Linked DNA regions of Danio rerio. The protein of the gene in region 4 binds, or shares a complex with, the protein of the main gene of each other region. Links are inferred from orthologs where the notes say so. Each region holds a gene or a part of one and is shown on either strand. Other genes may lie near its edges. The genes, in order: lsm7, snrnp200, sart1, smx5, prpf8, lsm3 and lsm5.

Region 1 (4,161 bases), on a different chromosome or scaffold from region 4:
ACCATTGATATAATGATAATAGTCAAACACAGATGTCTTTACTCTTAGGGCGGGGTTTTTTCGTATTTTCGGATGTGTTAACACTTGTAGTTTAGTCAGTTTGTTTGGACCAAACAAAAAAATTATACATAGTCCTAGTTTGTCAAGCTTTCATACTCTGATTTTTGACAGAAAAGCAGCTGCATTTATGACATTCAATTCAGCTTATTCAGCTTTATTTGTATAGCGCTTTTACAATGTAGATTGTGTCAAAGCAGCTTCACATTAATGGTCATAGTAACCGGAACAGTGTAGTTCAGATTTTAGTGTTTAAGTTCAGTTCAGTTCAGTTTAGCTCAGTTCAGTGTGATTTAAAATCATTACTGAGAGTTCAAACACTGAAGAGCAAATTCATCAATGCGTAGCTCTACCAATCCTGAACCATGCGAGCCAGTGGCGACAGCGGAGAGGGGAAAAAAACTTCACCTGATAGGAGTGAAGAAAAAAAACCTTGAGAGAACCAGACTCAGTTGGGCACGACCATTTTAATTTCTCCGCTGACCAAAAGTCATGTGCAGAGCTTCAGTCACCGCGGTGGATTCTGTGACTTTAAATTTTCAAAACAATTCTGTATGTTTAGATACACTTGTTTGCTGTATGTGCATGCACACATTTTTTAATCAGTTAAATACGGTGCCCTAGAGAGGACAAATGCAGTGTAAACATGCAAATAGAAAAACACTTACAAACTGAGAATTAATCGTCATTAGTTTAGTAACGTGAATGCAACTTCCAAAATATGCACATAGAAATGTTTTGGGGGACCTTTGGGGCAGCTTTCTTTTTAGAGACAGTGGTGTTGTCAGCATTTAAAGCTAAAATTATCCAAACACCAGGGAATCATACAACTAGGACGTTAAAGTAAAACACTCAGCTCTTTGACAACACCACCACCTCTAAACAGGAAGCAGAGGGTCGGGTTCATTACATTTTCAGGTCCCCCGACACATTTCGGTGCATATTATCACATTCAGGAATATGTGTCTCAGCTTTCTCAATCTGTGTTTTTCTATTTACCTGTTGTTGTTTTTTTTTTAGTTATAGTTTATCCGAAAACTAACCGTTTCACTACTAGATTTCAGCATTTTTCAAAATATCTTCTTTTGTGTTTAACAGAAGAAAGAAACTCAAAAAGGTTTGAAACATATAAAGGGTGAGTATTCAATGACTAGGCGTGGGACAATAACTGTTTTAAGGTTTATCGCGGTTTGAAAAGTCAAGGTTTTAAAAACGTTAAAATTGTCTGTTATACCGTTCTCAAGGTATTTGTAAGTTTTTTTTTTACGACTATTTTATTGAGTTTTTTTGGGCAACAATAGAAAAGGACCATCCACATCACAAGTTACCATGATTCAGGAAACATCTGAAAAACAAATCTCTTATAAACCAACATCCAGCATGCTGTAGAGCTGAACAGTGTAGATGATTTTTTTTATATCCAAAGAAAAGAAAGATATCCAAAGATGCCTTTTCAAGTTGAAAAGAAATCTGTGCTTTTGAAACTAATTAAGACAGCAGAAGTCAATGACATTCAACAATTAATAAACAATAAATTATTTAGCCTGACATTATAGTTTCAAAATATTTTAAATGTTAAAAAATATAAACCATGTTCAATGGGGGAAAAGTTTTTTTTTTACTCAGACATTTAAAAATAAAATATTTTGGAGCAGTATGTACAATAACATGATATTGTGTAACTGTGATATTTCAACCTAAGGTTATCAACCGTCAGAATCTTATACCAGCCCATGCCTAACAATGACAGTATTCATTTTTTTAGGGTGAACTATTTAACTTCAAGTGCATTTAAACTCTCTCAGAAAACCATATTAAATGTGTCAAACCAACACCAGAATTTCCTCTGGCTCACACACACCCAAATGAAGATCTGCTGAGACTGTTTCTGATGCCTGAACTGAACGGTAAGGAGCAACATTGTTATGCTGACAAAAATAGCTATGCTGGAGCATTCTGCCTTTTTATGTTTAATATCATGGCATCATGTCCTCTTTGGGTTGATTTAGATGCATTTATATATCAGTCAACCCACAAGAGTTTGTATGTTGCTTTATATAATTTATAATTTAATAAATTGATTAATTTTATAATTTAAATTGCAGCATTTACACTAAAATTTGTTCAAAACAAACCACACTAACATTAATACTGTGAGAAATTTAATGCAGAACATAATTTGGTACATATTCGGTTTACATTAGCACATTTTACCTCGCATGTATTCAATGGTGCCGTCCAACACAAGATTCAACAACGGGTCGAAGCCTTTTAAGACGCCACTTGCTGAAAATAGGAAACACTAGTGTCAAATTTACCACAATTCATTTAAATATCATAATGTGAAACATTTAAATTCATAATTAATTTCATAAAGCAACTCCCTCACCTTCGCGACCTCCTTGAAACTTTACACGTATATGTTTGTCGATGTATTTCGACAAATCAAAAATACTCTCCTTCTTTTTCTTGTCTTTGTCCTGAGGATCCAAAAACATATTATATAACAATCTCCAGGCCTCTATAATAAATATCAGACTCGTAGCTTAGCACAAAAATACACCACACATCACATTTACAATTACCAGCACACCCTAATGTGTAACAACATAAATATCAAGAGTGTAGGATATATTCAGGTGCTTATATGTTTGTTTATAACGCCGTTTGTCCTTAAAAGTGTTTATAATGTGAACGGTGTGGAAACGTTTGCGCTACTCACCGCCATGTTCAAAACTCCTCTACGCCCCGCCCACTCCGGGTTCACGTTTGACGTCTACCTCTCGGCCAATCACAACGCGCGCAGGTGAACTCTGATATCAAATGTTTTCAATTTTATCAGCTTTATTCACGCACAACTACACAGTATATACAGCTTTAAATGTTTATATCTATATTATACGATTTATAAAAACAAAAACATGTTGAAATACGATGATACGCGTGATTAGGTTGAAGTGTTTCTCACTTCCGGTTGGAAACGGACAAACGCGGGAGTGAAGCGCGAAAAACAAATGAGTCTTTCAACAACCTAAATAACATCTTTAAAACAGGATTACACGATTTTTAATTATTATCGTTGCTTTGTGAATGAATTAGGAATGACGGAATTACTTTTTAACAAGCGGTTGCAGGTGCTGGTGAAGAGTAAAGATACCGATGAGAGGTTTGTGTTGATTGTCTTGTTTTTGAACACAATGCCTAACTTAAATTGATTTATGGTATGAATTTTGGCTTTATTTTGTCTGTAATTATTAACATTTCGAAGTCTGTAAGGGTCTATATGTGTTTATATATGTTGTTTTTGTTACTACAGGCGTTCGGTTATTCGCGTTAGCATTGAACTGCAGTTACCATCCAGCCCTGTTCACAGAAAGGTTTGTTATTAACATGTGTACAACCATATTTATGCCTTTAAGCATGTTTTATGTGGTCTTATAACTTTTTTTAAATTTTTGATCAACAGGATTTAGTTGTACGGCTGACTGATGATACTGATCTTTACTTTTTATACAACCTTATCATATCAGAGGAGGATTTTCAAAGGTATTGTGGTATTAAAAGTGTCATTTCATCAATGAGCCATATTTATTTTCAACACTTTGCTATTAGGCTTCTATGTGATTATATTCTGTGTAATCGTTTTTATTTGCTCTTCTTCACAGCTTAAAAGTACAACAAGGGCTTTTAATAGACTTCACATCATTCCCACAAAAATTTATAGACTTACTTGAACAGTGCATTTGCGAACAGGACAAAGAAAACCCACGGTAAGAGGTTATAATTCATAATAATGTTCAGATGTTGCAGTTGTTAAAGTGATAGACAGGCTAAAGTCAATAATTACTGATGATTTAGTCAACCTCAGGACAAAAATTTCTTATTGGTTCTTCACTGAGTCAAATATTAATACTGTTTGGTGTTTATTTCAAAAATATAAACTTTTTGAAATGAAACTTATATAAAATTTTATAAATATCTATCTAACTATCTATCTATCTATGGGAAAAAATAAAGAGACCCCTTGAAAACTCTATATTTGTATTTGTCTGTACATGTTTGAAAACATTTCTTTTTTTCTTCTAAATTTCAAATCAAATAATG
Region 2 (3,500 bases), on a different chromosome or scaffold from region 4:
AATCAAAGGCACACAGGTTTACAGCCCAGAGAAAGGCAGATGGACGGAGTTGGGAGCACTGGACATCCTACAGGTCAGTGTTTTTCATCAATCTTTTAAGAAGTTAATTGAACTGTGGGTAATAACTCTTGACTTTTTGGTGCAGATGTTGGGTCGTGCTGGCAGACCGCAATATGACTCTAAAGGAGAGGGTATTCTGATCACTTCTCATGGAGAGCTGCAGTATTACCTGTCCCTGCTCAATCAGCAGCTGCCCATCGAAAGCCAGATGGTGGGAAAACTAGCTGACATGCTGAATGCAGAGATTGTGTTGGGCAACGTGCAGAATGCCAAGGTGAGTTGTAAATGCATTTGGATTAGGGTTATGGTTAGTTTAATAGCAGGTGTTTTTTTATATAGGTTTAATTTAATTAGTTTTTTGGTGATATATCAAAGGCGGTTTTAAAAAAAAATTAACTGTCTACTTGTGGCACCCCCTTTATAAGATGTGGAATATATACATAGATTGTAATTTTACATATTGCTGTGAATAATAATCATTAAATAAAGATACCATTATGCCTAGTATTTTCCAATACTTCTGGGGGGAAAAAATGAATGTAATTTTTATATAACTTTTTAACTAATTTTAAAAACATCAGTCATAATTTTTACTCAATATTTATGAAGTTGAAAATGTTGCTTTGCTAATGCTTTCTGTGTCTTCCAAATTATAGTTTTTGATTGATTGTGAAGCATATTGTTGAAGAATTTGTTTTCAAAATTAAAGTTGTTTATTGTACTTGAGTAAATTGGCAAAATATTTACTTCATATTCACGCAGCACATGTTTTTTTGGCGTTGATGTTAACAGATTAAAGCTTTCATACTGCGCACAGAAGCAGCGCATAAGCACAAGGTGTGAGCGCCACTGAAGTGATATTTTCAGCGGTGGGTCTATTTTTGCCGCGCTTCTCACGCTTAAATAAAGTGACAAAAAAATGACCAAAAGCACATTGAATGATAGTAAAAAGTTGTAATTTTACCCAACAAATACATTGATAATATCCACTGGTTTTTATATATTCAATCAAATGAACTTAAACGAATAAAAACAGCAACAATTATTTGTTTGGGCCCGAACTACAAAACTAAATTTAAAACCATTTTAGTATCAGTTTTGCTTCATTTGCACACTGGTTTGATCACGTATAAATATTATTATAACTTTAATCCTACATTATCCTGACAGTCAAAAACAAAATGACATGATACCACATGTCTAAAAGACATAAATGACACTCCTCATAGAGCTTGAGACGCATACAGTTCTTTAAGATCTATATCATTTGTAAAATAAAGACTTGCAGGTCAAGGAAACAGCCTTGGAGGAAGTTGCCCTGGGCCTTGATGCAGATGAAAAGTAAAAAAAAAAAAGTGCATAGATGGATAGATAGATTAGACAGAGATAGATTGATCTGTGCAACAGCTGCTGATGAGCTGTGCGCTGCAGGCGCAGTCAGTGTGAAAGGCAAATGCCTTCGCGCTGCCTCTACTCTCCATACCACTGCTCACGCTTGCGGTAAAAAGTACAATAATGTATTTCTCATTATTATTGCACTATTTGACTATTGGAACCTTACCATTACTAGATTTATTTCCAGAATTAAAGTTTTACATTGTCATTTTTCTACAGCACACACTTGAAAATATTATTTTCTACAGATAATATTGCACATGCTTAACAGCAGTATTTCTCTGTAAATTCAACATCTCTAGCAGTGATTGGTCTATTTTTTTTAGGATGCTGTAAATTGGCTGGGATACACATACCTGTATGTGCGCATGCTGCGTAACCCCACACTATACGGCGTGTCCCATGACGACCGCAGCATAGACCCCCTGCTGGAGCGTCGCAGGATGGACCTGGTGCACACGGCAGCTACCGTCCTGGAGAAGAACAACCTGGTCAAATACGACAAGAGATCTGGCAGCTTTCAGGTACACACTGTTCTTGCTCATCACATTAACCACTGCTCTAAACACCTCTTGGCACATCCAGATGATTTATATGCACAATCAATGCCGAGATTGTACCAGCTTGAAATCCCCCAGCATGGCATAATGGATTTCAGCACGGCTGCCTGAATCTATTGATTAAATATTTAAACGGCAGCAACAGATGTGCTTTAAATGATGGCTAATGTGTTTGCATTGAAGGTGACAGACCTGGGGCGCATCGCCAGTCATTTCTACATCACCCATGAGTCCATAATGACTTACAACCAGCTGCTAAAGCCCACACTGAGTGAGATCGAGCTCTTCAGGGTGTTCTCGCTTTCATCTGAGTTTAGGAACATTACTGTCAGAGAGGTACGTGCCTTGTTTTATTTAACCAGACGAATTGGTTCATCCAAATATCTGCTTCCAGGATTTAACAAGCGTGGTTCTTACGTTCTGATTGACAGGAAGAAAAACTCGAGCTTCAGAAACTGCTCGAGCGAGTCCCTATTCCAGTGAAGGAAAGCATTGAAGAACCCAGTGCAAAGGTTTTTTTTTTTTTTTAAATACATGTCAGTTGTACGTGAAGTTGGCTGATCCTTTTTTATCTTAAACGTTATGTCTATTTTTCAGATTAACGTGCTGCTGCAGGCATATATCTCTCAGCTCAAACTGGAGGGCTTTGCTTTAATGGCTGACATGGTCTATGTGACGCAGGCGAGTGTAGAATAAAATCTTGTCTTATAATAAAAAAACATTTTTCCCTTCAGTCTGACTGATTTCCTGTATTAACATTGTGTTCGACTTTTGCAGAGTGCTGGCAGGCTGATGAGGGCTATCTTTGAGATTGTTTTGAGCAGAGGCTGGGCCCAGCTTACCGACAAGACTTTAAACCTCTGCAAGATGATTGACAAAAGGATGTGAGTTGTCTTGATGTTGACTTTGGAAAGAATAATTATATTAGGGTGTCCACTGGGCCTTAAAGTCTTAAATGTGCTGAAACATTGTATTGTAGGTCTTAAATCTTTTTAAAACAGGTCTTAATTTTTCTTTGTTCATGTAAATCTACATAATCTGGCCAACACCAATACAACAATGCAACTTTTTAATTAAAAATTTCATTTTTAACTCTGTTTACCATAATAGTTTAATTATTTTCCTTACTATAGCATTTGTTTAGAAGTTATCCATATATTAACTGCAAAGGATACTAACCTGACATATCTATTATTATTAAAATATTATAATTATTATTTTATTAAATTATTATTATTTTTATGATGAGGCAAGTGAAAATCTTTTCCAACTGTGATATTCTAAAAAATATCCTTGCGTTTAGCCCTGTATAAGTCTAAAATTTCATTCATAATGGTCTTTAAAATGTCCTAAAGTCTTAAATTTAACTTGGTGAAACCTGCATAAACCCTGTATATACATTTGTCTTGTCATGTGATGTTCTATCATTTGTTTTTGTTGTTTTTCATCAAGGTGGCAGTCAATGTCTCCATTGCGTCAGTTCCG
Region 3 (2,826 bases), on a different chromosome or scaffold from region 4:
TTTAAATTGGACAAGAAACAGAACTGATCTAAACTTGAGTGAAAAACATTGTAAGATATAATCATTCATTTTCCTACGGCTTAGTCCCTCATCCACCACAGCAGAATGAACCACCAAATATTCCAGCATATGATTTACACAGAGGATGCCCTTCCAGTTGCAACCCAGTACTGGAAAACACCCATACACTCACATTCACACTCATACACTAAAGCCAATTTAGTTTATTCATTTCACCTTTAATACATGTCTTTGGACTGTGAGGGGAAACCGGAGCACCTGGATTAAACCAACGCCAACTCGAATCAGCAACCTTTTTGCTGTGAGGCGACAGTGCTAACCAATGAGCCACTGTGCCACACCAGATATAATCAGTGTAAATAAAAAAAAAAAAAATATATATATATATATATATATATATATATATATATATATATATATATATATATATATATATATATATATATATATATATATATTCAGATGACATTAGCCCAGTCTTAAATCGCAACAGTTTTTATTGAGGGGAAAAAAACAAGACAGATAAGGTTCTACAGAGAACTGTCAATCAAAACAAAAAAGTTAAATCAAATAAGGGACTTAAATTCACATACAAGACAATGTCTGTATATACATCACCAGTTGCAACTGTGTTTAGGAGACAGCTAAAATGAGCGCATTTTGTGAGATTTTCTGTCCTTCTGTTCCAGAATAAAGATTTATTTTGTAATGGTATTTCTGTAAACAAAAAGAAGAAGATAAAACCAATTACTGAACAGAATACAGACAGAATGAAAAGGAAAGTGTAAATAAAATACGTACGCGTTCATGCTTTTCCCGCTGCCACTCAGCACAATGTAAGGAGTTTTCTGTGATTTCTGCTTTTCCTGCAGAAGTGCCACGGTTCCCAGAGGAGTATCACTGCTGCTCATCTTCTTCAGCAGCTGCACGGACAAGCAAAATGGACATTAGCTTTATAGTTTGACAACAATGATAGTATACAGAGCTCAGCCTTAAAGGGACAGTTCACCCTATACTGAAAAAAAAGAAAAATCAATCAATTTACTAACCCTTGTTTCAAACCTGTTTGAGTTTCTTTTTTCTGTTGAACACAAATGAATGTATTTTGAAAAAATTTTTATCGCTAACCATAAACTTCCATAGTATTTTTTTTCTACTATGGATGTCAGTGTTTACAGGTTTTCATCTTTCTTCAAAGCATCTTCTTTTGTGTTGAACATAAGAAATAAAATATCCTCTTTTTTTTTGGAAGATCTTAAAAGAGAGCGAATTGAGAGTACATTTGTATTTTTGGGTGAAGAATCTCTTTATTTATTCAGAAATCTCCATGTGCTTCTCATTCAGACTTTCTAGGAATAAAAATGATCTGTCCAAATAGGAAGTATGATTATTAAATATAATTAAGCAGAATTTATCCAGTGTTGTATATCAGCTGGTAATTACTTAAATCCGCATATTTGGGATATTTTCCCCTCTTAAATTGATATTAAATGAGTTTTTACACATTCTGATTAACTATTAAATGCATCATCTTTGAAATTGAAATAATGACACATGCATTTTGATTACAAAGAGAGATCTTTGGAAAAAAAATGGAGTTAATGGCTGACTTTCACCACAATGACAATATAATTTTCCATACTTTAACATTGACATAATTTTAGAGGTTATGAACCATTGAGAATAAGTTTAGCAAACTTTTTTTTTATTTATTTCTTGAAGAGGATAATGTAATATTTATGTTTGTATGTACATATGTGTGGAATTTATGCATTTGTGTGTGTGTGTGTGTGTGTGTGTGTGTGTGTGTGTGTGTGTGTGTGTGTGTGTGTCTGTGTAAATAAATATACAGTTGAAGTAAGAATTATTAGCCCCCCTTTGATTTTTTTTCTTTTATTAACATTTCCCAAATGATGTTTAACAGAACAAGGAAATTTTCACAGTATGTCTAATAATATTTGTTCTTCAGGAGAATTATTTGTTTTGTTTCGGCTGGAATAAAAGCAGTTATTAATTTTTTAAATACCCTTTTAAGGTCAATATTATTAGCCCCTTTAAGCTAGATTTTTTTAATAGTTTACAGAACAAACCATCGTTATACAATAACATGCCTAATTACCCTAACCTGCCTAGTTAACATTAATTAACCAAGTTAAGCCTTGAAATATCACTTTAAGCTGTATAGATGTGTCTTGAAAAATATCTGGTCAAATATTATTTACTGTCATCATGGCTAAGATAAAATAAATCAGCTATTAGAAATGAGTTATTGATGGATGGATAGACAGACAGACAAACAGACAGACAGACATGTATGTGTATATTTATATATTGTTTTTGTTTTTAATCAATATTATTATTTGTTTTGTTTCCACTTGTTATTTGTTCCTAATAAAAACTATTAAAAGTATTTTAAAAAAGCATAATTTTTGTATTGAATGAATAAATGCTATTGGGTTATCATAAAAGAAATCACCACCAATTCCATGTTTTCACTGAAGCAGCAGCATTTACAGTTTAACAAAGCCCATATGTAGCGTCAAAGTGTCAATTAATTTATATTCATATTTATAATACAACAATTTTATATAATACATTGTATTTAGCAATTATTATAAAATTTTAAACAATATATATTTTTAAAACAAACCACTCCTTTCCTAGCTAATGACGTTTTTAATTGGTATAATCGTCTGGTTGAGCAAAGTAAAATGATCTTACACTTAATCCTGCAAAGTGCAAACAATCCAGTTAGGGATGCTCATTTCAGTTAATTTTGCCAACCCATTCATGAACCAAATATTA
Region 4 (4,188 bases):
TAGTGTGGTCTACATTCGCTTTGATAAAGCCATGATTACTTTATTAGCGCATAAAAGTGCCTAAAAAACACAAAACAAAGGCACTGGTATATTTTAGGAACAGTAACTACGAGTTTCTTTTACTCTAAACAACTTACTTTTTTGTTTGGGACTAGGCTGTAAACTACAGGTGTCAAATTCAGTTCCTGGGGGGGCTGCAGCTCTGCACTGTTTAGTTCAGTTTAAGTAAGCACAACCAGATTAAAGTAATTAAATCTTTCGGGCTTCTTTGAAACCCAACCCTGCTCCAATACACTTGGAACTGAACTGTGCAGGGCTGCAGCACTCCAGGAATTGAGTTTGACACCTCTGCTAAACTATCCATTCACCTTAACCCAAGGGTGTCCAAACTCAATCTTGGAGGGCCGGTGTCCTGGAGATTTTAGCTCCAACCTGCCTCAACACATCTGCAATTATGTTTTTAGTAAGAGCTTGATTAGCTAGCCCTGGTGTGTCTGATTGGGTATGGAACTAAACTTTGCAGGACACCAGCCCTACAGGACCGAGTTTGGACATGCCTGCCTAAACCAAAACACCAGCATTCCACGAACATAATTTGTAAAATGCTGTCAGCTGAACTCCAACAATGGACGATTTTTTCCACCAAAAGGAAAGTGTGAAAACAGAGGAAAATACTTTATTTTTGCATCAATGTGTGAACCTAACTAAAAGTCATTGGTATGCAGTACAGAACTTTACCAACACTCATTAAAAGCACACAACCACTAACTTGTGAAGTAAAAAAAAAAAAACAGTAAATCACACCCTCAATAACAGGCTTCACATGACGTAAAAATGAAAGAGAAAAAAAAAACTTTACATGTTTTAGGTAAGAAAAACATTTAAATCAACAAAACTCCACAGATGATGCTTCTGAACATTGGAACAAAACCAAACTATTCTCAAATATAAACATTATTGTTTCTGTTGTGTAGCTTCTTTGCGTGCAGCATCCTGTAGTAGCTGTGTGTCCACTTCATCTGCAGGAAGCTGAACGTATCGCACCACTGATCCACGAATGAAGCAGTTCTTCACAGACAACTACAACAAAACAATATTAGAGTCATCTATATACACCAAAGTTCTCCTTGTTGAGCACCTACATCACTATGACAATTCATAAATCACAGACTTAATAACCTGATCTACATTAATTTAGGAATCAATTCAATTATCAGGGTTCCCTCTTTAACCCTTTAGCTGCCTGCTCTATCAAATGGTTGACCGTATTTTCACCGTTTTAAATAATGGTTTTCACTACACAGCATTGTTGGTTTACAAAAAAAAATCCTGTTGCAATTCTACACTTGCTTTCTAGTTAGTTTTTTTGACAATAAAACCAAAGCAATGTTATATGAGAATCTGAAAATATTTTATTGCATATTTCAAAAAATAAAGATGACTTAGTATTCAAAAAAAAATTTTATTTTGAATATTCTTTAAAATAAATTGGTCCTACACTTGCTATTTTCAGATTTTTCATAGTATTAATTTCTGTACTTTTACCATAAACCAATATATCAACCATGACATGAACATAACAGGCTTCTGTAGTGCTTATAAAAAATTGTAATATTAAATTAAAAATATATTGAAATGGTTTTAGCCATTTTATTACATTCATTTAATAGCCACTATGAGAACAACAAATGATAATTTACTTAATATAAAAAAAAAATACTTGCGGTTTGCATGGCTGTAAATATCAAATATATTTTAATAAAGAAAAGCTAAAATGTAAAGTAACAAACAAAAAATCCCTGTTATTCCATGAATCTGACAAAAATATATCAACATTTCCTAAATTTCAATGTCTGAAATGAACCTTTTAAAATTCCATGACATTGATAAAGATATTAGACCCAAGATTATGAGTGTAATTTTCATTTCATCCATTTCTCACCATGTGCGGATATTTCTCTGGATCAGTAACACTGATATCTGTCAGTTTGATGTTCAGGTACTGTGAGGGAAGAACAAATGACAAGATTAACTTAATCCTAAATCGCCCAATATTTGTTTATATTAATAAACGTGTGGAGTCAGTTTCCGTACCTGATCAACTGAATGTAATGTTCCACATATGCTGCAAAATAGATGTGTTCATAGTTTTACGAGCTGGCACATACATTATAAAATATGTATATTCAATTTCTAATTATATATATAATATTTGTAAAAGAAAGGTGAGCACTCACCTCAAGTCATTCTTGAGCTCCACCACAACATCTTTGCCAACCAAAGACTTGAAAAACGAGTAGAAGAGCTGAGAATAAACATTTGAAGGAATTACTCTCAAAATATGAGGCGGACAGCAAATAAGACATCGATAAAACGATTGAATCAAGTTTTATCAACAGACCAAATGAGAAATGTCAACAGCAAATAACACTGCTTTCTAAATTACGCAGGCAAATGAAATACCAAGACTTTAATATAATAGGAGTCAGCCAGAGTTGTTTCTGTTGGGCATTTAATTAAGGGGATAATCCTTGCTTGAGAATGTTGTTTTATTTGGCTATGAAGAAAGCTAGCGTTAGCTGTTAGCATGAAGCATTGTTTGTCTTTCTCGCGAACACAGTGGTCAAAAAAACCTAAATATGTTAAACAAATGGTCGTAGCACGTTTATTAATTCCTTAAACGTAAATTACTGTATGATATTGCTAAATAACAACACTTACCATTTTCACGCGGCTTTGTGCTTTAGATCACATACGTCATCAAAAAGCTGCCGGGTCTTTCACTCTGTGCTTCTATTGGCTAGAAGAATGAAGACGTAAAAATCCCATTGGTCGCGAAATTGTTGGCGTTTTGTTCTGTTTTTGCGTCATTTGTACTCATCTCAGTAAATTATTCCGCAATCGTTCATCACACAAAAGAGATTAAAAGGCGCATGTTCAATGGATGTGAAATATTTTCTTAAAACAGTCAACTTTATGCCCGAAGAGGTACATGACATGTCTGACACAGAGCTTGCTGATACACGTACATGGCTCCTCTTTTCTGGCAATTCCCTCTTTCGTCAGCAGATGGAGACAAATAATAATAAAGCACAGTCCAGGGCTCAGGTTAATCCTCTGCGTTATCCCCATTTATAAAACAAAAAAGCAGTCCACTTACAAAACGCTATATTGTAAAACAAAACAAAACCTCCACGACATGCTAATGATTATAATGTTTTTCACGATTATGTATTTATGTGCATCCAAAAAATGTAAATTCAGCCAATTTAATCAATTTACTTGTTTAAAACCATCTTGATCTTTCCATATTTTGAAGAACGTTGGGAACCTGTAACCATTGACTTTAATAGTATGACAAACAAATACTATGAATGTCAGTGCTTACAAGTTTTCAACATTTCTGAAAATAAAAATGGATTTTGGATTCTCTATAATTTAAAGATAAATGTTCCTAAACATATAGAGCCTTCTTATAACATTATGCTTTAATATGCATTCTCCTGTTTTTAAAAGCAAGCATTCTGAAAATTACCTAGAATGAATATAAGCAGGGATGGGCAGTATTTATGATAGGGTTGATGGAAATGGCTTAATGTTTTGTATTAAAAATACATTAATGTCTTTTATTTTTGTAGTTTAAAATATTGTAAAATACTTTGATGCTAAATGTTTGTCACTGAAACAAACAACATAACAATAAGTCCTACAATAAGTCCTACAAAAGGGACTAAGCCGAAAAGACAATGAATGAATAAATGAGTGGCGATTCCGATGCTGTTTCAAATGCCAGTAGTTGATCTGCAGATGCACTGTACTGTTAATGAAAAAGAAAGATGTACTGTATGCCTAAACATGTAAAAGTGACAACATGAGAAACGCACATTTAATAATTAAAAACTTCTGACAGGTTATACAGAAGGAACATGATATAATATATGAAAAGTTTATTTGCAAAAAAAGATAATTTTTTGAAAGTTTCAGAAATCATGTTTTTACACTGAGTATTAAAGAATCAGTTTAATGGTGAAGGGACTGATCAAATGGGCTTATTAATGAAAGGTTTGCCAACAAATATCATGTTCCTATTTAAAAATATTTTGTAGAATTTTTTAAAATACAAAAATACTGTATTTTATTTTGATACATTTTGTGGCTGAGGTATTTTGTAGTTTATTTTGATATACT
Region 5 (4,239 bases), on a different chromosome or scaffold from region 4:
TGGCAGTGGCTCTTGGCTCTATGGAGAAAATACAACTTTGCAATAATTGTGGACTGAATGCACAGACGTTTAATTCATACAGTTTAATTAATTTCTGACCTTGACTGAGTGCCTATGAGAGATGGGGTTGATCAGAGGGTCAAAGTAGAAGGCGGGTAGATCAGGATCTTCAGTCTTGATGAACACCACATTTGGTGTATGGTACCTGTATAGACCACCACAGAACAACAGTTCACTTAAAAACATCAGTTCAAGAGTTTTTGTGAATGATTGAACTGAAGGAAAGATAATGGTTCCTACCAGGTGAGGTGCACATGATGTGGCAGATTGTTGTACAAGTAAGGGAATGCAATTTTGTATTCTGTCCTGATTGGCTGTCTGATGATGATCTTGTTGATGTCATTGAACTCATTCCAGTCTTCATCCCTAAAACGAAAGTCAAGTTAGATCCCTGGATAACATAAGCAATTGCCAAATATACCACAGTTAGGACACAGTACGTACTGGAGGTTAATGTCTCTGACAAGTGGCTCAAATTTAGGTCCTCCAGGAATGGCCATGTTCAAAGCTTTAGAGGTGAAGAAAGCTTTCAAGTCAAACAAGTAAAAGTAATTGTCATCCACCAAGTCTGTCAGCAGCTGATTAGCCAATCGATACAGAGTGGACATCATTGGCAAAGTGAATTGCCATCGTCTGTATGTGGTCCCATTCACGTATCTGTGGAAGGAAGAAAAAAGACAAACCATAAACAAATGAAGCAAGTAACCATATTTTTAAAATTGTCCCCAACACTCACTTGGTGGTGTCTTTCAGAGGTTGATGCTCATAGAGCCAGTCTGTGACAGAAGAGTCCTCATCAGGGTCCAGCTCCATCTGGATCGCCTCCAGAGGCTCCACATCCAGGATGTTGTCTGCATAATCCAAAGGAGGCTCTTCATCATCAAATGGCGGGAAACGCATGCGCTTGAAGTGCCGTCTGTCTCTCTTCTCACGACGCATCATGATCCACATTGTGCTGGTGTAAAGAGAAACAGTTTAAACATTATAAAACAATAAAAAAAAATAAAAAATTGAATAAACAATATTGCTACAGCTTCTCCCCAAAAAGGGCACTATAAATCTTTCAATCAAAATATTTCCTTCTCAAATATGACAAGCAAAATATTACAAAAAAATTAATTTATTTAATTTTCCTTGTTTTACTTTGAAATACGGTAATGATAAGATGTTTTAATGTTAATAATTAATTACAATAATATGACAATTTTTACTGCTAAAATTACACTTTGGTCGCATAACCACAATTTACTGCACAACTACGCAGCACCCCAAGAAAATACTACAAATGGCCTTAGCCAACATTTTTTCCCACTAATCTATCCTCTCACAAGTGACATCACACAGCCACTTACCCCCACTGAGAAATGTACACTGGCTCAATAACCCAAGGGATTTCATTCACGAAAGATATAGCGCCTGTGATGTGGTAGAGCACAGGTACATCTCTGATCTGCTCCCAGGGCATTGGCATGTTCTCCAGCAGTTTGAGCACTGCATGGGGCATATACTTCAGGGCCCTGCAGATTAAAAACAACAATTAATTTTACATAAAAAAAACTTTAATAATGATAATCATATAAAAACCAGCTACCTTTGTAATGATGCAAATGTTCTTACCCTAGGTAGACTCTTTTATCATGACGAAATTTCCTGTTCGTCATGTCACCATGATCCCTGATAATTTTGCGCACATGTTCTGGTGGCATGTCCTCTTTCTGAGCATCCACGAAGCCAAATTTCCTTTTCTCAGAGTAGCGCTTGGCCTGCAGCTGCTGCCATTTACGAGCTACAAGAAGGAGATTTCATTTGAAAAAAAGGAAACAAACTTTGAGTCTTGGGTACAAATTGCATGCCGTTGTTAACCTCAAGAATTTTGCCAACGCACCTTTCTCTTGCAGTTTCTCCTCAGTCATATAATCTGGCACTGGAGCAACAGCAGGAGGAGGTGGAGGAACACCTGGAGGCATTGGTCCAGGAAGACCTCTGTAGGGGAAAGGAGCTGCCATGGCAGCGTCTACTGCAAGCAGAAACATTAAATCATAAATATAGAAGGTTACACTGCAAAACATGAGTAACGCACAGAAAAGACAACAATTATTTCAATAAAACACGTCCTCACAAGCCTACAACAACAACAAAACCTAAATAAGAATTCAGTAAGCAGGAAGACTGACCTAACTAATGCTAATTTAATCGTTCTAAAAGAAACTAAAATGTGGAAGTATTATCAACTAGCTTTAAAGTACATAACTTAATCACATTTTTTTCATAACAATCACATCAATGAACTTAGCCGACTAACTTGCTATCGCGCCTGAACTCTTTTCTTACCTTCGAAAAATAATCTAGAAACTATTTATTTACACAAGACAGCCACCGGGTAGACTTTTACACAGTCTTTATCTTAAGTAACAATATTTACGACTGGTGTGTATGAATGTATGTGGTTTGATTAGTTTCTGTGGCATCGATAACGCATTAGTTAGCATGTTAGCTTAGCTTACCGAATATTACACAACAAGTAAACCGTTTCCGGAAACAAACAGTTTCAAATCGTAAGTGATACTTTGAAATCTTGCAAATAAAATATGCACAAGCTCGTACAGAATGAAATAACTTACAGTTAAAAGCAGTTTCTCGCCAGTGACTGTAGTTGTACGGTGGTTTTGTGCTCAGCGGAATGGCGTACTATGCACGTTGTGCGTAGAGTCTTTCCATTCTCCAAAGCGCTTACGTATCTGAACAATTCTACCTCAACGGAAATGATAACAAGCTACGACTTCGAACGTAAGAAAATGCGTAGGACCCAACTTCCGGATATGACACCGGATTTGAAAAGTCTCGCTGTCCTTTTTAATTTTTTACTAACATTAGTAATAGGGGACACATAAAACATTAATTTGTCCTAATATTGTGTGACCAGAATACTAATGATACATATTCGTTGTACAGCTAGTTACAAAGATGTTACAAAGGCTAAGAAAAAACAATACATAAAATGTTTATATATATATATAAATATATATATATATATATATATATATATATATATATATATATATATATATCTTCAGCATTTCAGTTGTCTTGGCAGCTTTCTTCTTTAGCAATTCATAATAAAGTTTTAAGTCAATACAAAATGTTCTATTAGGCAAACACTGAATAACTCTACATTTGTGAAGATGGAAAAGGCCACAAAGAGGTAAAAATGTCAACACACTGTCCAATTCCTTACAATCTGACTCCCAAAACAAAAACAATAAAATAATTGTCTTAAAATCAATAAGGATTTTATAAGCTGATAAGACAAGCCAAGATATTCTGTCTAAAAATAAATGTACTGTTGTACTATTAGATTTATAGAATGTGCATTGTAAAGAATTGTTTTTATTAAATTTAGATAGTAAAGAATTACAGGGATAGTAATTATGAAGGATTTTAAAATAAAGTTCTGTCATCTTATTTGGTACTAAAAACGTATTGATACCAGGCCAAATTGTAATGAGGGATAGAACCGGGTAATTTAATTTAAAGTTATAAAATGCTTTTCGGTACAAGCTAGACTTATTAACAAAATTTCTTCTAATGTGCTAATTATTACATTTAATATAAGTAATTTATCCAATAGCTAATTAATAAATAACTAATTTGTGCATTTCACATTTTAAGTCTGTATAAGCATAGGTTCTAGTCAAATATAATAGTTTTGTTAAAATAGATTTTATAACCAAATCATACTCTGGGCTAAGTATCCCTTCAGAAAATTGCAGAAAACTCAAAGTAAGAGTAAATGTTACCGTCCTTTTTTAATAAATCTAAAATAAGAACTATTCCTCTGTCCACCAATTCTTTAATAGAAATAGATTTTCTACTCTACAGCACATTCTGATAATTCCATATTATAGATGTGTTGAAAACAATTGTGGCAGAAATCAAGTTTACCTGCTTCCAAAGCTTACTTGTGAAACTTTGCAAGTTTGATAAGGAGTTTATTACAGCTTAAATCAGAGGCTGTCTCGTCCTTCTAAAGGCCACCTTTCTCCATTCTTTTTTATTTTATTTACTGCATTAGTCTTAATTTTTGTTATTATTATTTTATTGATTAGGTTTCTTCTATTCGACTCATGTGTAAGTATAGCTGGATAAAAAGTGTCTGCCAAATTAAATAATAAGTAACGG
Region 6 (4,286 bases), on a different chromosome or scaffold from region 4:
AGAGCAGTGGTGGGCCAATAAGAAGAGCGCAAAGGCAGGGCAAGCATTACGGACTTGGATTTGTTTACTGCAACAAGTTGACATGATAACTGTTTTAAACCATTCCCGAGCGCTGCATTTTTGCAGACAAAGAGCAGACAAACTGGTTGCACACAACAATTTTAAGCTCTCGCAGAAATGCTCCCAAATATATTTTAAGGTCGCATAGATAAAATTTCGGGCGCATATGCGACCAAAATAGTCGCAATTTCGAGCCCTGTTAATGCAAATATGGTAAATAAAAGAAAATAAATATTTAAAGAAATGAATATTAAAATAATAAAAGTATATTTATGTCAACATTTATCCTTTTTGGTTGTGCTGTTTAATTCACACAAAGGAAGTTGTATTCAGTACATTTTTGGTCATCCATAAGTTTATTTACCTCTGTAAAATACAAAACATTTACATTTTTCTGATCCCTTATCTCTGTGATTTGTTATTAAAATCAAACAGATTTTTCAATATACTGTTCATATATACATACGTACTGTTAAAATAACACATTAGAACTGCTGTAGACTATTAGTTTAGACTTGTATTTTAGATCTAAATACAATTACAATATAAATATTATTTTAATCCTCTGTATGTTTCCTTTCTTTTACTAAACACTTTACATACTACACTAATGCGTGTAGTCAATTATTAGGATAAAACATTTGATTATTACATTTTAATAGATTTTATCAATTCACTTTTACATGTTTTTATCCTTTATTTTCTCCAAAAAATCCACAGACCAAATTCATGTGACTTTAATAACAGAACATAATACATTTAGAGACATAATTGAACTTGAGTCTGTATAAAATGTAGTATTTTCCCTCAAGGGCAGAATAACTAGAGCAGTGGTTCTCAAACGTTTTTCATCAAGTACCACCTCAGAAAAAAATTGTCTCTCCAAGTACCACCAAAATGAGCAGTATTGAGATACAATAGCCTTGTAGGCCCAGTAAAGCAGCTACAACTCTGCACAGTTAAAAAAACGTGGCAGATTACATGAGAAATATAGGCTATATGTCATATGACATTATATACATCATTTTTATCAATTTTGAAATGTGTGTAGCATGTACATGACATATTTTATTCCTCCACGTACCACTAGAAGGAAGCCTGCGTACCACTAGTGGTACACGTACCACAGTTTGAGAACCACTGAACTAGAGTATATAATATGTACAATGTGGTAGTTTCTCTCATGTGCAGTATAAATAGAGTATATAATAACTACAATGTAGTATTTTCCCTCACATGCAGTATAACTAGAGTATATAATATTTATATAAGTATTTTCCCTCATGTGCAGTTGTAGTTTAATTAGTATATATATATATATATATATATATATATATATATATATATATATATATATATATATATATATATATATAAATAGTATTCCCAGAGATGGGTTGCGGCTGGAAATGCATCTGCTGTCTAAAAACTTGCTGGATAAGTTGGCGGTTCATTCCGCTGTGGCGACCCCGGATTAATAAAGGGACTAAGCCGACTAGAAAATGAATGAATGAACATAAATATAATAATGATAAATATAATATGCCTAATGTTTGCCTCAGGTGCAGGATAACTAGAGTATAATCTGTTTAATTTAGTTTTTTCTCTCAAGCGCAGTCTAACTAGAGCAGGGGTGGCCAATCCTGTTCCTGGAGATCTACCTTTGCTTTGTTTGAAACAATATTTTTTGTCATTATTAGTGCAAACTTATATGAGCGATTATATCATTAAATGTGGAGGGGGGCCTAACAATATTTTCCAGGGAAAAAGGGGGTCTCAGGCAAAAAAAGGTTGGGAACCAGTGAACTAGAGTATATACTAAAGTAGTATTTCTCCCGCACATGCAGTCTAACTATAATATTTAATGTTTAATTTAGAATTTTCCCTCACGTGAAGGCTAACAATATATCTATAAAAGTACTTTACCTCAAGTGCAATTTAATAATGTTTAATGCAGCATTTTCCCTCACATGCAGATTAACTAGAGTCTATAATATGTTTAATGTAGTATTTTCCCTCACGTGCAGTATAACTGTATAATGTTTAATGTAGTATGTTCCCTCACGTGCAGTATAATTAGTGTAACTTATATATACACAATGTAACTTAGTATTTTCTTGCACGTGCAATGTAACTAACTTTATGTAACATTATATAATGGTTAATGTAGTATTTTGAATCAGGTTTAGTATAACGTTATATAATATGCTTAAGGTTGTATTTTTTCCAATAACGTACAGTAGAAACGTGTATTTAATGTAGTATTTTCCCCTCGTATGCAGTATATTATGTGGCATTTCCCTCACGTGCAGTATAACTAACTTAGAGTATGTAATGTAGTATTCCCCTCACATGCAGTCTGCCACGCAGTTCTCTGTCATTCCTCATCTTTACATAGATCCTCTCATCCAGACTGAGCCGAATCAGATCCAGAGGCTCTTCTACGGTGTTGGTGGTCTGTTGCTGTAAAGTAAATTTCAGTGATGTATTTTATTTGAATGAAAATGTCCATGCAAACAATCGTCGTAGTTACAAGCTGCTTTAGCATAGGCTACCCGTGTGTTCAACTAGTTAAAAATAAACACAATTAATACGATTAACCTCCGCGATAATCAAACAGCTAACGAAATATTTATACAAAGCAAAAATTGCAAACCTGCTCAGCGTCGTCCGCCATCTTTCAAATCTACCCAGAATGCATTTTCCGTTTCTCTCGCGAACAAATCATTAGACGGAAAATGCATCTGCTTCCTGTTAGACATAGATATATACGTTAGATGTCGCCTACCCTGTTGTTGTCTATTGGAAGGAATGCGTCAATAGATCCACCATGTTAGTACAGGGAACCGCTCCTTTGAAATGAATGCAAGCTGTGACCATCCAAAGCCAAAGATATACACATAGGCTATGATCGGGAGTTTTCCCGGATGTCACTGTGCAATTATTTATTTATTTATTTTTTTTAAATTACGAAAATTATAATTTTTCATCCCTTTTCTACATTGATGGATCAGTGATCGCACAGACATTCCTGAAAAAAGCTTGTGTTTGTGAGTATGGAAGTACTATTCCCCCTCCCTGTTAGATTTGAAACACATCTCCTCCTGCTTCCTTTAAATTCCGCATTTTCATATCTGGGAAAGCCCATCTCACATTTCCTGCAAAGGAAAATTAGACAATTTAGTTGTATAGTGAAAGTTGTGAGGCTGATCATCTGGATTGCATTGTTATCAAGAGTAGGCTATTTGGTGTTTATTTATATGCAATTTTGCATATGAAATTGCAACTTTATCAATTAGGCAATGTTGGGGTCACATCAGTCCAACCTTTAACAAAACAGTCACAACTGGACTTGATTTGGTTGCTTTATATGTGTAAAAAAAAAAAAGAAAAAAAAAACTTATGGTGTTTGAGGTCAAACTGACCACACTGAAAAAAAATGAGAAAAGTGGAAAAAAAATTAAGATTATTTTTTTTAAATGAATTTTAAACCCATTATAAATTTTAAAAAGTTTAACATTTCTGCAAAGGCCTGGGTCTAGAGCACAAATAAAAATTGGAAACAAAAACTTTCTGAATATTAAAATTTTCTAAATATTTTCTTTTGCATGTCACACAACATGACAGTAAATTATTATAATATTTCTTTAAGAAATAAATAACAAGTTTAGCTTGCTGCACTTGAAATTCAACTAAAAGCAAATGCTGAGAATGTGTGACAGTCAGTTAAATATATATATATATATATATATATATATATATATATATATATATATATATATATATATATATATATATATATATATATATATATTAAAAAATAGATGCAGTAACCTGTGCCTGTGTTGCTATTCAGTTATGTAGATCGACTGTGTAAGCTGAGAAAATATTTTATAGCCTACCATTCCTTCTAACGCTGAAGGACTACTGAGACATTCAAGCATGGGATGGGTCCTAAAGCATCAAGAAGTAAAAGCTGAAATGAATAGATGCATAAGGACCCCTGCTGGATATATGTGGAAACTGCAGCTTTTTCCCTCGTAACCTCAGATGACATCATTTTATTTCTAAAGTATAAAACAATATGCAGAAACCTTTTATATTAAATTTAGGACAGACTTTTATTGATTTTTAAATGAAAAGTTGATTTTTCATAAATCTAACAATGGCTTAATTTAATGCTTGAAATAATTAAACCGCTTCAATATGGTGTATTTATAATACAG
Region 7 (3,980 bases), on a different chromosome or scaffold from region 4:
TTTGGTCCGTCATTCCATCAGAGAGGAGATACTGGGAGATGGAAAAATTAATCAAGCTATAATCAAGCTATAAAACTCCAAATTACCGTGACAAATTACTGTGACATACAGTTTGGTAGCCTATATGATGCAACATTTTGACTGACTGACATGCCCTTTAAAAGAAAAAACTTGGGTAACACTGCTCTAATGTTACAGCCACAGGCTGTACAAAAAGCCAAGCCCCTCTCATGCTATCGATGTAAACAAAGTAGTAATCTGTTCAGATTCATCTTCAGCCTTAGTTAGTATAGCAAACTCAAAATCAGATAGAGAGGATTTAATAACAGAAATCTATTTATCTTTATATAGATTAAAGGAAATAGGAGTAGTCGTTTATTTCTGCTGGGTTCCATCACATATTGGGGTATCTGGTAATGAAGTTGCTGACAAATTAGCAAAGGAAGCACTAAATAAGCAAGAGGAAGTAAATGTACCTCTGGGGAAAAGAGAGGCAAAATCGATTTTAAAGGAAAAACTAATAAATAAATGGCAAATTAGATGGGATAATAGTAATACTGGAAGATGGCACTATAGTATTATACAGACAGTAGGGACAACACTAAATCAAGGAAGAAATAGGAAGGAAGAGGTGTGGTTATCAAGATTAAGATTGGGACACACAGGGTTAAATGCAACACTTGCGTTAATGGGTTTACATGAGGATGGGAAATGTGATGTATGTGGTGTAACTGAAAATGTGGATTATGCACTATTTATATGTAGCAAATATAATAAACATCGCAATATGTTATTCAGTCAGTGTGGGGAAGATAAAACAATATATAAAATTATTCTAGGAAAAGGTATAATAGATTGGCAAGTATATAGAGCGTTTATTAGGTATATAGAGTATTCGGATTTAGGTTATTATAGTCTTATATTTATGGATGAGAGTATTCTCAATCATTGTCATAAAGGCCCTTTATGTTAGAGGAGCTGAACACGCAGTGCTGACATGAGTATGTGGTCTAGATGCAAAGATTGGACAATATGAAACATCCAAGGTGTTTTTTTCCCCCCTTTCCCTCCCTCCTCGTTTCTTTTTGTTGCCCTTTCATCGGAGTAAGATTCGGTACAGTAGGTGGCGATAATGCTTTTAATTGTTAGTCGCCATAAAACAGAAAGAAGAAGAAGAAGAAGATGCTATCGATGTGTGCTGATATCGATTATCCATGCTTGTAATTGGCTTCCGGTCCCGATTATTCAGGTCTGTTATCAAAATGGCGGCAATCACAGCAACGAATCCTTCGCAGCTTTTACCACTCGGTTTGTTTCACTTTCTTTAAAATTGCTTATCATTTACTGACATAACTTTTGTGTTTTTGTACGGGGCAGAGATGCCAATCAGTCACGTTCGTAACTCACTTTGCTTTTTTATCTAATTGAATACACCTGTGCACAAAAGATGTGGCCCTAATCATGTCAATGTGTTTTTATTTTAACTTAAATATTTAATTTCACAAATTTATACATCAATGTGTGATTGATTATATATAAACGGAAGCCAGTTCATTTAGTTAGTGTGGGCGAAAAAAATAAATCACTAATATGTTTCCCTCTGTTGGAGTTTAAAATATTGTAATTATGACTTGGGAACACATTTATCATTAACAATTTCCATTAAGATGTATTTATAAGTAAGATACTCTGAAAATAAAATTTTATGTATGAGTTACGACATTAGAGATACCGTGTCAAATGATTAAAAGCCACTCCACTCTTTACTCGCAGGATTTTTTTGTTGTTGAGTCAAATAAGCCTAAAATTAGTACTTTAAAGAATGAATTTGGTATTAACATATTACTCAATCCCACACCTAGTGTTAAAGCCAAAGAAATTTTAAATTTTATTAAACGTGGTTCGTTAAAAACTTACCTTGGCTGTATAGTTGTTGAAGTAACGTTTAACATAAATTGAATTTCTTTACAAGGTTTTACAGTTGTATATCACACTGACCACTCAAAATGTTTCCTTTAACAGCCAATGATGTGACTGTGTTTATGATGGGGATTGTGTGCTGTCTTTCAGAGCTGGTGGATAAGTGCATTGGCTCTCGGATTCACATCGTTATGAAGAACGATAAAGAGATTGTGGGAACTCTGCTTGGGTTTGACGACTTTGTCAGTATCCTTTACCTACTGGCGGTAAAAAAATAAACAAAACACTGTCAAATATTTGTGATGTTTACAATTTAGTTTTGGATTCAACTTTTTTTTTTTTTTTTTTTTTATAAATACTGCTAGCTAAAGATATAGTTACACATAAGATTTCCCTTTATTTCCCTTAGTCCGTTTATTAATCTGGGGTCGCCACAGCGGAATGACTCGCCAACTTATTTAGCATATGTTTTACGCAGCGGTTGCTCTTCCAGGGTGGAAAATGGCATAACGGCAGCAATGGTTACTGAACAACAACGTTGTGGAATCAGTCTGCCTAAAGAATGTTCATTAGCCTGTGCTTTAGTTTTAGCATTTTAATATAAGAAAATGTCCAACAAAAGAACTCTATCATATTTACAGACTCCAAATCATGCCTCCAAGTGATGGAATCTTCAGAAAATGATCATCCTTTGATTAATGATATTATAACTAAAGTTCACCATTTACAAAACCATTTTTTTTCATATTTTTTTTTTTTTTTTTTTGCTGGGTTCCGGGACATGTTGGGCTTTCAGGAAACGAGCGAGCTTGATCCAGCAGCTAAGGATGCTTTGAAATAAGTTGTGAACGAATGCCAAATTCCTCTTTTAGAGATGAAATCTTTTATCAACGTTTACTTTTTAAATAAGTGGCAAGAGGAGTAGGATGCATTGAGAAATAATAAACTGTATGAAATACAACCTGAAATCTCAAACTGAATTTTTAGTCATTTTAAGACTAAATTTGATTTAGTGATTTTTACTAGATGTTGTATTGGACATGCAAGAATGATCCATGCTTTTTTTTTTTGCTCAAATGTGAAGACCCTGCTCAATATTTGCACATCACACTTTCTTTTACAGTAAAACAGATTTTACTGGATTGTCCTGCTTTTAACAATTCCAGAAGGCTTTTTTTTTTTTTTTATCAAATGATGTCTCTTCAGGACATTTTTAGCAAAATGACACCTGGAAAATAGTAAAAAAATTATAAAAAAATGTATTAGCATTTAAAGATGTATTTAATTTATGTATTCATTTGTTTTTGTTTTTTAATTGTATATTTATTATTGAAATGTTCTTGCCATGAAAATAGCCTTGCATTGCTGACATGGCATTAAATAAAAAAATACAATACACTACATCACATGTTGTCAACAGAGAAATGTAAATGTCTATGTAATGTTATCTTTGCGATGTTGTACATTTCCTTGATGCTTTACATCAGACATGGTCCTAGAGGATGTCACAGAATTGTAAGTATATTTCCTAAACAAAAATATTAAATATTTGCTTAATTGTCTTTGCACAGTGTATTCATGCATTCTCTTCTGCTTTGACTTAAAGGATAGTTCCCTCAAAAATTTTAATTGTCAACATTTACTCAACCTTCTATTGTTCTAAATGCTGTTCGAGTTTCAAACGATCAGTATCCTGTCTCCAAAATTTTAGGTGTTTGTTTTATTAGGATAAACTATCAATAAAAAAAGCACTTTCGTTCTAGAGATTAACTAAAGCTCAAGTTTTATACCATTAGACTATTTATACTGTATTCTAATTATTCTATAAACTATACTGCATAGAGAAGGCATTTTCTAATCTTTTTAGAAACTTTTTTTAAAGTATGCTTAGTTAGAAGTTCAATGGTATTAGCAAATTTTTATCACTATTGAAACCGTTTAATATTTTGTGACATTATTATTAAAGAATAATTCCAAGTATTATCATTGATTAAAAAAAAAAAAAAATCAATTGAATGTGAAGTGTACTTGAATGTGAAGTGTACACTCATGTATTCAAG

What was found.
Region 1: smx5 (region 4) and lsm7 share a complex: the UniProt entries of both Homo sapiens proteins name them as parts of the precatalytic spliceosome. The link is inferred for Danio rerio from reciprocal best matches to the Homo sapiens genes LSM2 and LSM7.
Region 2: smx5 (region 4) and snrnp200 share a complex: the UniProt entries of both Homo sapiens proteins name them as parts of the U4/U6-U5 tri-snRNP complex. The link is inferred for Danio rerio from reciprocal best matches to the Homo sapiens genes LSM2 and SNRNP200.
Region 3: smx5 (region 4) and sart1 share a complex: the UniProt entries of both Homo sapiens proteins name them as parts of the U4/U6-U5 tri-snRNP complex. The link is inferred for Danio rerio from reciprocal best matches to the Homo sapiens genes LSM2 and SART1.
Region 5: smx5 (region 4) and prpf8 share a complex: the UniProt entries of both Homo sapiens proteins name them as parts of the U4/U6-U5 tri-snRNP complex. The link is inferred for Danio rerio from reciprocal best matches to the Homo sapiens genes LSM2 and PRPF8.
Region 6: smx5 (region 4) and lsm3 share a complex: the UniProt entries of both Homo sapiens proteins name them as parts of the precatalytic spliceosome. The link is inferred for Danio rerio from reciprocal best matches to the Homo sapiens genes LSM2 and LSM3.
Region 7: smx5 (region 4) and lsm5 share a complex: the UniProt entries of both Homo sapiens proteins name them as parts of the precatalytic spliceosome. The link is inferred for Danio rerio from reciprocal best matches to the Homo sapiens genes LSM2 and LSM5.

The regions. Positions count from the first base shown.
Region 1 is NC_133197.1:10,401,045-10,405,205, reverse strand, and holds the start of lsm7 (U6 snRNA-associated Sm-like protein LSm7), read right to left. Parts: upstream 2,801-4,161; 5' UTR 2,786-2,800; coding exon 2,780-2,785; intron 2,538-2,779; coding exon 2,447-2,537; intron 2,344-2,446; coding exon 2,272-2,343; intron 1-2,271. Other genes in the region: sass6 (spindle assembly abnormal protein 6 homolog), read left to right, coding at 3,159-3,223, 3,374-3,434, 3,524-3,603, 3,723-3,827. UniProt on the Homo sapiens protein: Plays a role in pre-mRNA splicing as component of the U4/U6-U5 tri-snRNP complex that is involved in spliceosome assembly, and as component of the precatalytic spliceosome (spliceosome B complex).
Region 2 is NC_133183.1:33,107,129-33,110,628, reverse strand, and holds part of snrnp200 (U5 small nuclear ribonucleoprotein 200 kDa helicase), read left to right. Parts: coding exon 1-73; intron 74-145; coding exon 146-334; intron 335-1,781; coding exon 1,782-1,979; intron 1,980-2,198; coding exon 2,199-2,351; intron 2,352-2,446; coding exon 2,447-2,527; intron 2,528-2,612; coding exon 2,613-2,696; intron 2,697-2,792; coding exon 2,793-2,899; intron 2,900-3,467; coding exon 3,468-3,500. UniProt on the Homo sapiens protein: Catalyzes the ATP-dependent unwinding of U4/U6 RNA duplices, an essential step in the assembly of a catalytically active spliceosome. Plays a role in pre-mRNA splicing as a core component of precatalytic, catalytic and postcatalytic spliceosomal complexes.
Region 3 is NC_133196.1:30,364,959-30,367,784, reverse strand, and holds the end of sart1 (U4/U6.U5 tri-snRNP-associated protein 1), read right to left. Parts: intron 945-2,826; coding exon 823-944; intron 739-822; coding exon 720-738; 3' UTR 501-719; downstream 1-500. UniProt on the Homo sapiens protein: Plays a role in mRNA splicing as a component of the U4/U6-U5 tri-snRNP, one of the building blocks of the spliceosome. May also bind to DNA.
Region 4 is NC_133181.1:30,702,522-30,706,709, reverse strand, and holds smx5 (smx5), read right to left. Parts: upstream 2,801-4,188; 5' UTR 2,725-2,800; coding exon 2,722-2,724; intron 2,306-2,721; coding exon 2,238-2,305; intron 2,126-2,237; coding exon 2,095-2,125; intron 2,003-2,094; coding exon 1,943-2,002; intron 1,081-1,942; coding exon 955-1,080; 3' UTR 20-954; downstream 1-19. UniProt on the Homo sapiens protein: Plays a role in pre-mRNA splicing as component of the U4/U6-U5 tri-snRNP complex that is involved in spliceosome assembly, and as component of the precatalytic spliceosome (spliceosome B complex).
Region 5 is NC_133190.1:30,766,022-30,770,260, forward strand, and holds the start of prpf8 (pre-mRNA-processing-splicing factor 8), read right to left. Parts: upstream 2,801-4,239; 5' UTR 2,682-2,800; intron 2,078-2,681; 5' UTR 2,067-2,077; coding exon 1,946-2,066; intron 1,847-1,945; coding exon 1,678-1,846; intron 1,578-1,677; coding exon 1,413-1,577; intron 1,016-1,412; coding exon 797-1,015; intron 718-796; coding exon 505-717; intron 427-504; coding exon 301-426; intron 206-300; coding exon 100-205; intron 19-99; coding exon 1-18. UniProt on the Homo sapiens protein: Plays a role in pre-mRNA splicing as core component of precatalytic, catalytic and postcatalytic spliceosomal complexes, both of the predominant U2-type spliceosome and the minor U12-type spliceosome.
Region 6 is NC_133197.1:33,572,435-33,576,720, forward strand, and holds the start of lsm3 (U6 snRNA-associated Sm-like protein LSm3), read right to left. Parts: upstream 2,801-4,286; 5' UTR 2,738-2,800; coding exon 2,717-2,737; intron 2,524-2,716; coding exon 2,413-2,523; intron 1-2,412. UniProt on the Homo sapiens protein: Plays a role in pre-mRNA splicing as component of the U4/U6-U5 tri-snRNP complex that is involved in spliceosome assembly, and as component of the precatalytic spliceosome (spliceosome B complex).
Region 7 is NC_133187.1:13,906,748-13,910,727, reverse strand, and holds the start of lsm5 (U6 snRNA-associated Sm-like protein LSm5), read left to right. Parts: upstream 1-1,180; 5' UTR 1,181-1,262; coding exon 1,263-1,308; intron 1,309-2,070; coding exon 2,071-2,166; intron 2,167-3,407; coding exon 3,408-3,435; intron 3,436-3,980. UniProt on the Homo sapiens protein: Plays a role in pre-mRNA splicing as component of the U4/U6-U5 tri-snRNP complex that is involved in spliceosome assembly, and as component of the precatalytic spliceosome (spliceosome B complex).